3 linked regions of the Arabidopsis thaliana genome follow. The protein of the gene in region 3 interacts with the protein of the main gene of each other region in a pairwise test. Each region holds a gene or a part of one and is shown on either strand. Other genes may lie near its edges.

What was found.
Region 1: the proteins of HAM1 (region 3) and AT5G28040 interact in a two-hybrid assay, tested with the Arabidopsis thaliana proteins (one large-scale study listed by BioGRID).
Region 2: the proteins of HAM1 (region 3) and AT1G79020 interact in a two-hybrid assay, tested with the Arabidopsis thaliana proteins (one large-scale study listed by BioGRID).

The regions. Positions count from the first base shown.
Region 1 is NC_003076.8:10,037,263-10,041,018, reverse strand, and holds the start of AT5G28040 (DNA-binding storekeeper protein-related transcriptional regulator), read left to right. Parts: upstream 1-2,017; 5' UTR 2,018-2,081; coding exon 2,082-3,365; 3' UTR 3,366-3,435; exon of another isoform or gene 3,436-3,756.
Region 2 is NC_003070.9:29,728,520-29,732,275, reverse strand, and holds the start of AT1G79020 (Enhancer of polycomb-like transcription factor protein), read left to right. Parts: upstream 1-1,682; 5' UTR 1,683-2,216; coding exon 2,217-2,372; intron 2,373-2,434; coding exon 2,435-2,564; intron 2,565-2,660; coding exon 2,661-2,763; intron 2,764-3,063; coding exon 3,064-3,187; intron 3,188-3,292; coding exon 3,293-3,358; intron 3,359-3,588; coding exon 3,589-3,627; intron 3,628-3,728; coding exon 3,729-3,756. Other genes in the region: AT1G79030 (Chaperone DnaJ-domain superfamily protein), read left to right, coding at 1-78, 160-240, 334-438, 525-638, 739-822, 923-994, 1,082-1,354.
Region 3 is NC_003076.8:25,829,028-25,832,783, reverse strand, and holds the start of HAM1 (histone acetyltransferase of the MYST family 1), read left to right. Parts: upstream 1-2,114; 5' UTR 2,115-2,280; coding exon 2,281-2,587; intron 2,588-2,725; coding exon 2,726-2,814; intron 2,815-2,896; coding exon 2,897-2,956; intron 2,957-3,051; coding exon 3,052-3,261; intron 3,262-3,395; coding exon 3,396-3,464; intron 3,465-3,589; coding exon 3,590-3,751; intron 3,752-3,756. Other genes in the region: C/VIF2 (cell wall / vacuolar inhibitor of fructosidase 2), read right to left, coding at 367-909. UniProt on the Arabidopsis thaliana protein: Histone acetyltransferase which may be involved in transcriptional activation. Acetylates 'Lys-5' of histone H4 (H4K5ac). Essential for gametophyte development. Involved in DNA repair after UV-B exposure.

The sequences.
Region 1 (3,756 bases), about 16 Mb from region 3:
AACTCTACAACTTCATTTGCAACACCAAGTTTGTAAGGTAGAGAACAAAGTCTCTCCAGAATAGTCCTTTCATTAACCAAAATGATTTCGCGCTAAGGAGGTTATCTATGGCTCCTTTTGGAGTAAAGTGGTCCTTGTTAACTCCATTGAATAGGTACTAGATTCATAAGGATTCATTATTAACAATATATCCCAAAGTTCTTCCTACTCATGTGAATTGGTTAGAGAGCCCAATAGTCCAACAATTATCGATTTGTTGGTGCAAAACCTCATCGAGAAGACGTAGAGCTGAGATAATTACCTATTATGAAGCACCAAATTTGTTTAGTAGTCATCACCAAAACTATAATTCTAAATCTAAACCTAGAGAAATAGAAAATTTAGCGACATAAGGAGAAATTTACTAACTTGCATAGTCAAGAATGAGAAGCCATTAACACCAAACATATATATATATATATATATAAAGCATGTGTAACATAATAAAAAACCCTGAAACAAAATCAAGAGAGCGATAAAAAGAAAAGCATACTTTTGGTTCTTTTCCACCACTTCAAAGCTATAGAGATTCAAAATCGAGTTTAAAGCATAGCTATAGAAATTCATAGATTGAGAGTCAGATTTACCACAACACCAAGCCAAATTTCAATGCATAATGAGGAAGTTGGTTAAAGCGTACTTCAAAGCAATAAGGATTTAGAGAGCCGAGTTTCTTGAAAAAGCAGTATATATAAGATTTGTAACCAGCGATTTTGATCAAGTAAAGAGTTTCTTGATTTTGGTCAAGTAATGGTTCTAACATAACATATGTATAAGATCTCTAACCCGCGAGAAAAACAAATAGATCTTATGTAATTTGACTTGTTTATTCTTAATGAGGTGAATTAATTTGGACTTTGAAATTATACTTCTAATGGCATTGGTTAGTAATACTTTAGAAAAGGCAATGTGAATTTTCTAAAGGTACTTTCCTTATATTAGTATAAAGATATTTTTTTCATGAACTAAATGCATGGAGTAATAACATTTAACTATGAAATTTATTTATTTTGAATAATTATGTAGAATGTTATATATGATTTTAATTATTAATTATATTTAAATTATGTTACATTTTATTATTATAATAAAAAATATTTGGTGTAATTATACTTTCTATAATTATTAATTATATTTATTTGGTTTAATTTCGTTCAAACCGGCTGGTTAATCATTCATAAAATTTCTGTAAATGCACCAATTTTCAAAAGCTAACCATATCATTGAAAAATATTTCATAATGTTTAAAATCACAACCGTCCGTTTTACAAACTCTCGCAAGTCATACAATATCCACTGCGTTTAAACCAGTCATACCTAAAAATAGCCATTGGGTGTTACAACAAATGAAGTGAGCGGTTAAAAATTAAAACAAGCCGATTGTAAGCCACATGAAAAATCTGTGAGTTTACCAATTGTTTTGATACTGTATTAGTTTTTTCAATATAACTTTATTTGTATTGTTCTATTAAGAGATTATTAATAGTAAAAGTAATTTTATATGTTATCTAATCTCTTATATTCCTTCCTTATAACAATTTTTTTCAATTTAAAGTAACCACCTTTTTTCATTGTTATGTCATCGCATTTTCTCTAATCGCTTTTTCTATAATCTCTAAAAACATTCTTAACCGTCATAAACAACAGTCACCAATCACAACACCCGTTAATATGGGACGTTGAAGAAACGCAACAGTACACAGAATAACAAAATCAAGTTTGTCGAACGCTTTTCTGTTTCGCCGCGGTTGCGGTAGACCATTGACTTTAAACACATGATCACGCTTCAACTAAAACCGCAACAACCCAAACAAAGCACGGGTAAAAGAAACAAACACTGGACCACTTGCCTGCAACCGCAACACCCTTAGTCATAATTACAACTCTTAAAATCCCGAAACTACCCCTACTCATCTCCAATATTCTCCATACCCTACCACCACCCAAAAAACAAACCCGTATCAATCCTCGTGAACCCAATTCCTTCTTTCTGGATCTGATTCGATCTACCAGAAAAATTTCTCTCTCGCTACGTTTTTCTCATGGCATCGGATCAACGTGACACTGATTTCTCCGCTGAATCACCAGATCTAGAAGAAGACGGCGGCGGTGGCGGTGGCGGAAGAGGAGGAGGAGAAACTGAATCCGACGAAGATGTTGTTATACCCGAACCAAACGAAGCCGAAGACGACGATCACGATCCCGATCCCGATCCAGAATACGAAGATCTGAATTCTCCGTCAATGATTTCCAGAGCTCCGGCGACGAAATCATCCTCAGGAACCGTAACCGTCGCTCTTCCCGCTGGATCCGCCGTACCTGTAGCTTCAATTCCATCAGATTCCGATCAGAAATGGCACCGTATGACTGAAATCGTTCATCAGAGACCACCGATTGATGATTCACGACGTTTATTCCAGAGACTATGGACTGACGAAGACGAGATCGAGCTTCTCCGTGGCTTTCTCGATTACATCACAAACCACCGTGGTAACAGCTCTCATCCGCCTGATACGGCGCCGTTTTATGAACAGATTAAATCTAAGCTACAGTTAGAGTTTAATAAGAATCAGCTTGTGGAGAAGCTAAGGAGGTTGAAGAAGAAGTATAGGAATGTTATGAGTAAGTTTAGTTCTGGTAAAGAAGTGTTCTTTAAAAGTCCTCATGATCAAGCTACTTTTGATATCTCTAGGAAGATTTGGAATCAAACTGGGAAAATTATTGGTTTTGAAGATAATAATGTGATGGATTTAGAAGAAACTAATCATGTAAATAACGCGAATGGTAGCTCGGGTTTTAATGTCTCTGTTATCGGTAATGCGAATGTCGATGTTGATTCGGAGAATGGTTTAGAGAAGAAAGTGACGATAAGTAGAAAACGATCACGGTCTAGGATCGGGAAGATCGACGAGGATAAGCCTGTTCTTGCTCCGTGTGACGGGGTGATACCGAATGCGGTTAATCTTAACGAGAATGTGGCTGTTGGTTGTGATTTTGGTGATGGGAGGAATCTTGGAGTGTTGATTGAAGAGACGGTTAAGAATTGTGTATCGCCCATGATTAAGGAGATGATGAATAGTACGACGGGTATGATGATGGCTGCAACGGGTGGGTTTCCTGGAGGTGGTGCTCATGCTCTCGGTGTGTTGAGTCCGATGCTAATGCCGTCGATGAATTTAGGGTTTGGTGGTAAGGGAGTAGGGGACGAACGGTGGAGGAGACAACAGATTCTTGAGCTGGAAGTGTATTCGAGGAGATTAGAATTGGTTCAAGAACAGATTAGAGCCACGGTGAATGAGTTAAAGACAATGCCTAATGGAGGATGATGCATAAGGAAAGACTACAATGGGTTCTTTAAGTTATGAGAAAATGATGAAGAAAGATTATGATGGTGAGGTATAGTATTAGCAAAAGTAATAATCTTAATGAAAATTTCTGATGGTGATGAAATCTTTTTTAGGGTTTTAGTATTTTTTTTTCTTGATTGAATCTTTTTTTAATTTTGTCGATTAGGAGTGAATAACCTTTGTTCTTAGCTGATAAATTATAGTTTTTGGTAGAGTTCAAAAAAAAAAAAAAACTCTTTTGTGCTATTTATAATGTTTTTTTGTGTGATGCATATAATATGATATTATACATCTAATGATTAATGAACATTAACATGTATTCTTTTGGAGTTTGATCTATGTATTCCGAAGACGTGTCAAGTGTAGAATC
Region 2 (3,756 bases), on a different chromosome or scaffold from region 3:
AATCATTATGAAGCATTGGGGGTCCCTCGGCATAAAAAGATCGATGCTGCGGTGCTTAAGAAAGAGTATAGGAAGAAGGTTTCTCCTCTTTTCCAATGCTGAGTAGGTGGTTAATGAAATCTCTCTGAATGTTAATGAAGTGTGTTCAATATGTTCTAGGCAATGTTGGTTCATCCTGATAAAAATATGGGGAGTCCATTGGCAAGTGAATCATTCAAGAAACTTCAAAGTGCTTACGAGGTAGTCGAATTACTTATAATCTTGAATTTGTATATTTTGAAGTTCTTGGTATTTTGATATATAGACATGTAATGGTTGTATTATCTTTTTCAGGTTCTATCTGATTTCGTAAAGAAGAGAGATTACGATGAGCAACTACGAAAAGAAGAATCTAGGACTAGGAGTGTTTGTCAGACATCTCATGCTTCTTCGCATCAGGTTTAGTTAAAGTCTTTTAGCTTCTCTGTAATATCTTTTGGCGTGTGGTCTCATGTTCCATACATTATTCCTATTTTGATAAGCAGAGTGGTCCTGATTATCGATCAGATGAGTCAAGGCGGATACACTGTACAAAATGTGGTAATTCACACATATGGATATGTACCAATAGGACAAAAGCAAAGGCAAGATGGTGCCAGGTGATGAATCCAACCAACTCAGAAACAGTTAAAGAATATTGTTCTTGCATTTTCGTTATTTCAAACCTCTCTTACAGATAATCTAATTTGTTAAATGTAGGATTGTGGCCAATATCATCAAGCAAAAGATGGAGATGGATGGGTCGAACTCAAAGGGACATTACCCTTCGAGAGAGCACATAAGGTATAAAAAAGCTTCTTTCTCGCCTTGTCAAATGTTATAATGAATTTGGTTTTGCCTCAGTATCCTCAGCTCAATCACTTTCTTTTTCATGTCCATTAAGATTGAAATACCGCGTGCTTTTGTTTGCGCGGAGAGCAAAATATTTGACGTCTCAGAATGGGCCATTTGTCAGGTCAGTTCTCTTACCGGTTCCTCTGCGGATTACTTAAATGCGAAGATGACTTGAGATACATTAACATGTTTTGATTGGATTAAATAGGGAATGGCTTGTAGACCAAACACGCATAGACCAAGCTTTCATGTGAACATGGTTGGGTTAGAAAAGACAACACAGAGATCAAACTCAAGTAGGTTCCCATGGGATCTAGATGTGGAGATGATGGATGAGGACGAAGAAGAGTTTGAGCTATGGCTTCAACAAGCTCTTGCTTCAGGTCTCTTCTGCGAAACCTCAAAACGTAGAAAAAGCTGGAGCCCTTTCAAGTTGGGCCAGATGAAAAGCAAGAAACAGTGGCGAAGAACTTCCACTTGATTCAAATTTGATCGAAACCATAAACAAAATTTTCATATAGCTCACCACGGTGAATCCAAAGCCTTGAAGATCATAATTTTTTTAGGGGAGTCTTTCTCTGTAAATAGTATCTGTCGATTGTTCTTCCAAAAGAAAAAAAAAAGAATCTTTGGATTTTTCATTGTGGTAAACTAAAGAAGCTGTTTTTCTTTTTTCTTTTTCTGAATCAATGTGTAGATTTAAAGGTGGTTCATTTGATAAGAAGAAGCTTAAAAAAGAAATGTTAATGGTTACTAAATTTATAAAGTTTGAATTTTTAATAATTCTGTCCCTTTTAAACATGAGAAAATAAAAATTGAGAAATCGAACCCAAATTTACTAAAGTTTTCCCTCCTCTGTATGTTGCTGACGAATCAAACACGTCGACCTCCAATATTTTTTTTTTTTAATTTCCTTCAAAGCTTCGATTTTGACCTTCTGGGTTAATCACGGAAGAGTTTCCTTTTTGGGTAGCCGCCGCAATTTTTCCCGGCAGAGGAAAAAAAACCCCTAGAATCTGGGAAATTGACGACGAAGAGGGATATAGGTTTGGAAATTTTGGGTATTTAATTTGATTTTTCTTTTTCTCGTTCCATTCAGATTCAAAAACAAAAACCCTAACCCTAAAATTCGTGTTCGATTAATTTCGTTGTCTCTGTTTTGTTTTCTCTTCGTGTAAACCTTTTTTTTTCGAGTTTTGGCACTCTGAGCTATTTGAGTATTACAGATTAAGCTTCGTCCTGTCTTATTGGAGCAACATACATATATATATATATATATATAGATATCTATCATCTGTATTTATAGGCACACTTGTAAGTAGAATAGTGAGGAAGAAGGTAATATGAGTAGGCTCTCTTTCCGGCCACGGCCATTAGACATTCATAAGAAGCTTCCCATTTTAAAATCCTTTAAAGACTTTGAAGATGATGAGACTCCAACTTCTACCACTAGAAATTCTCAGTTGCTGCGTATTGCTTCCGTAGAAGTTGACAATGAGGTGAATTTCCATTTTGTTCTAACTTCGAAACATTCGACCATTTTAACCATTGTTACTATCAGGTGGCTCCAGTGCCAAGTAAGAAACCGGCTTCAGAAATACCAACACCTCAATTTGTTATTGTGGATACATATGAAAGGGATTATTCTCCGACTTTTGGTCAGCCTGCTTCTTATCTACGTGCAAGAGGAGGTACCAATTTCCTCTGATTTGGTTTTGTATTCATTGGCAATGAAGGTGGTTTCTTTGTTATGTGCAGACTATAAGTTTGTCTGTTTGTTTATGCAGCTCGGTCTGAGCTTGGAGAATTTGTGGAGTATGATCTTGACAATGAGGATGAAGACTGGCTTTATGAGTTTGATAAGGATAAGAAAGAACTTCCACCTGAAAAGTAAAGTAACCAATCCAACTATCCTTATAGCTCTTCTTCTTCGGATTTATCATCATCATCAGTATTTTTCTGTTATCTTGTAGCTGCATCATGCTGATATTTTAAACGTTGAGGCGGATTGGGTTATTCAGACTCTCTGCGTCTTTTAGTTTTGTACTGTTGCTGAATTAGTTTGCTTTATTCACTAGAAATTGGATTCTGCTAAAATTGTTAAAACCAAAACTCTTAGTGAAATAGATACCGAAAGAAGAATCGTTCCATTTGATGCACAACACAAATGTGTTAAATTGTTTGATACAGGCTTGAGATCATCATTTTTAAACTAGAGGTGTTGGATCACAAGACGCGGGAAAGAGCAGGAGTTATTACACCTACTCTCGGCTCTCCAGTTCCTGTGCTTTTGCAGTTTGATGCTGCTTCTGATGTATACCTTTACTTTTGGATTATATATCTCTTGTTATTATAACTCTACACTCATTTTAGAAGCAGTACAAAACATTTGAATGATTAGTTCTGATTCTTATTGCAGGTGCTGCAAGTACTGTCCATTAATTATGGAACCTTCCAGGCGATCTTCAACTACTGGAAAGAAAAGGTTTGAAATAAAACTTATGTGATTGTTACAAGTTTTCTGGATACAGACGTTATGTTGCATAGGTTAATGATCTTATTTTACGGGGTGAGATAAGACGGTTTAATAGATTATTTGATTCGTGAAACCTATGCATAGTTCTTGTGAATGACAAAGCAGTTCCACATATGGAGTACCTTTGGCTGATAATACTTATGCATATGTTTCGTTTTCTGTTTTTTATGTGAACTTAGCGTAAAAGATGGCAGAAGCCTATCTTACGGCGTTTACAGGTTTGTATTATTTATTTCCATTTGAAACGATCAAGGCCTATGTTGGAAAGGCATCTTACCTCGATTATTTAGTTAATGTTTTGCTTCATTGTTTGGAACAGCCTCCCCCACCGGTTAATGACACCAATC
Region 3 (3,756 bases):
CTTTTGTAACCTTATCGCAATTTTTAAAGTGTAAAACATCTCTGAAGCGATAACACGTATAATGCATACAGATAAAGCAAAAAGTTACCTAAAGATATATAACGAATATACAAATATCTCTAGTACTTCCCATTTCTTAAGAAGCCTTTTCCCCCAAATCTTCGTCACTTAAAATTTTTGGTATGATTAGTCAATTGATTGAGAAATATTAAATTCCAAATATTCAGGTGATCTCTAAAGATTGTTCTTCTTGGCAATTTGAAAGTTGTAGCAAAGACGAAAGTAATAAAGTAACGGTCATATTAAATTCATGAAATACGATAATTTAAATAGAGATTTTACGAAAGTAGTTAATGCAAATGTAAATCATTCAACAAGGCGATCAAGAATCCCGGAGACAACACCACAAATACGTCTCAGACTAGCTTCACGCCGGCGAATCTCCACCGGATAAGCCAACCCTTTAACCCGCCTAAAAATATTCCGGCAAACATTAGGATAATCCTGCGCCGCCAACACATGCATGGAGGCATAGTCATAAGCTTCATCATCAAGATCTTGAATCGTCAGCCGGAGAGAATCAGCGGCGAGAGCATACTTCTCGGAGCAATCTTGTAAGACCTTTTTGAGAACGGTGTCTTTTACGGTGGCGGATAGGTTTCCAGCGATGTAATTTGCGGTGGAGGTGGCGTTTGTCATACCAACGCCGACCATAATGGAGGCGAGACCTTTTGTGTCGGCTGTGGGACTTCTTGGGTCGGATTTGAGAGCTGAGACGCAGAATTTGTAGTAGTTTGTGGTTTTGCAAGTTGATTCGATTATTGTTGTTGTGTTGGATTTGGCTGAGATTAGGGTTGATGCTGAAAAGGTTAGGGTAACGAGGAGGAGGAAGATGAGAGAAGAAGCCATTTCAGGAAGAAGGTTTTGAGCAACTGTTTACGGAGAGATAGAGATGGAAGAAAGAGGATTCTTGTCTTTATATTCTGAGCAGTTTCTTGAATTACATATTTTACAAAATAAATACAAATGATAACGTTTCCGTTTATCATTTGTAATTGCACTAAATGAGGAATGATTTTCGCATGTAGTGTGGTAGTTTATACTAATATTGACCTATCAAGATTTAAATTCACATGATGCAAATTGTTGGTCAAATAATGAATTAAATTAAAATACGTTTTTCCAGCTTCGTCATTTCATTACATTTGAGTATCTTTACTTTATTTTTGAAGAATTTAGAATTGATGATATACGAACAAGATATTTGTCGATGAATCAATCATTGTAGGTAAAAGAATCAGCCACTTCAACACGTTATTTCCAAAATTTGATAACTAAGTTTTGTTTGCTCAACCAAAAAAATTCTGTCTGTTTTAAAGATTTCGTCACTCTTTTCTCATTTTTTCTTACAATTATACAATTTCACATCATTATTATGAAAAAGGATACACGGTGTGTAGTAGCTACAAAAATTAGAAAGATGAATATATGTCACCAAATTAAATCATTTTATTTAAATTTTCCCTTTAGTCAAGTTGCCATATAAGTATATAACGTGTTTACATGTGAACAACTGAAATAGGAATCAATTCTATTTTTCTTCATTCGAATTTCAAAAGTAAGTAAGTCATCCACTTCAATTCATAACCGAAAAATAAAAGTAAATTGATAGTATGTAAAAGTAAAACATTCTTTAAGAAAAATGAGATGTAAAATTTCACATACAAGATACAGTAAAGTGACCATGTGAATCTTTTTTGTTCATAAAAAATCATTTTGGTTAATCTAGAGGAACATGGTGTGCGAATCTATGACCATAACTTCAAGGACACGATGATGAGTTGTGTTTTTCGTCTTTGCTTCTTGGAACTTTGTGATTTTTTGATCTGTGAATCTTGTGATTAGTACGAATCATAAAGCCTTGTTTGGCTGTTTCCCATTCACGACAAAATACTGACTCTGTCACTTATTATTTATCTCTCATTATCTCTTTAGTTTTTATAAATTGTTTGCTCCTACTAATCATTCTTTAAATGTAACCTGGCGATTATAAAACTAAACATAAGCCAACAGTTATAAAACGTGTATTAACGACGGTAAGAGATTTTTTGCACCCAAAAAAAAAGGACGGTAAGAGAGACATATAGTACAGGCCAATTATAAAGATAGGCCCAATTGAGCATTCAAAGTTGTTATTGGGCCACACTCCTTCCAAATGATGTTCTTTATCCGTATGAGAAAAGAATCCACCCGGAAAAAATCTCCGACCCGACTAAAGAAATGGGATCGTCTGCGGATACAGAGACGGCGATGATAATCGCCACACCGGCGTCGAACCATAATAATCCGGCAACCAACGGCGGAGATGCGAATCAGAATCATACTTCTGGTGCGATACTCGCTCTCACGAATTCAGAATCGGATGCTTCGAAGAAGAGAAGAATGGGGGTGCTTCCGCTCGAGGTTGGTACTCGCGTGATGTGTCAATGGAGAGACGGAAAATACCATCCGGTGAAGGTTATCGAGCGCCGAAAGAATTATAATGGTGGTCACAATGATTACGAGTACTACGTTCATTACACAGAGTGTATGTCGTTTCCTCCTTTCTCTATCTGAAATTTGTGAATCTAGGGTTTATAGATTGGAGCTGAAATTTCGAAGAATTGAATTAGAGGGCTTTGCAATTCAAGTTGTTTTGAGTATCACAACTCTTGTGAAACTGCAGTTAATAGAAGATTGGATGAATGGATTAAGCTTGAACAGCTTGACCTTGATTCAGTAGAGTGTGCTTTAGATGAAAAAGTTGAAGACAAGGTATTAGCCATTTTTCTTCAAAGTCTTGAGCTTTCCTCTCCGTAGTTTGCACTGAAACATAGAAGTTTGTTTGTGGTAATAGGTGACTAGCTTGAAGATGACACGACACCAGAAACGGAAGATTGATGAGACTCATGTAGAGGTAAAGTGATTGGTTAAGTTAGTTAAACTTTGTTGTGGTTTTAGTGAACTGTGTGGCATGCTATATATTCTGATGTTTTTCGATATTTTGTATAGGGTCATGAAGAGCTGGATGCTGCCAGTTTGCGTGAACACGAGGAGTTCACGAAAGTGAAGAACATAGCTACGATTGAGCTTGGGAAGTATGAGATTGAGACGTGGTACTTCTCTCCTTTTCCTCCAGAATACAATGACTGCGTGAAGCTCTTTTTCTGTGAGTTTTGCCTCAGTTTTATGAAGCGCAAAGAGCAGCTTCAAAGACATATGGTGAGCAACTGTTTTTTTTATCATTTGTAGCATTTTAATTGTTTTGTCTTTACAGTTATTTTTAGTTTCACACATACCTTTTATGGGTCATTCTTTTTACTTAAGTTTTGCTCAATCGTCTTTTATCTATGCAGAGGAAATGCGATTTGAAGCACCCCCCTGGGGATGAAATCTATCGAAGCTCTACTTTGTCAATGTTTGAGGTAATAGATTGATGTTTTCATCCTTAAACTGTTTGCTTTAGGCTTACGATACTTGTTTGGAAGCTAATAAATGTATTTAGAATTGAATTTTCACGACCTGGGAGTTTATTTGTAATATCTTACAGGTGGATGGCAAGAAGAATAAGGTCTATGCACAGAACCTCTGTTATCTGGCAAAGTTATTTCTTGACCACAAAACTCTTTACTATGACGTTGATTTGTTCCTGTTCTATATTCTCTGTGAATGTGATGATCGTGGATGCCACATGGTTGGATACTTTTCAAAGGTATC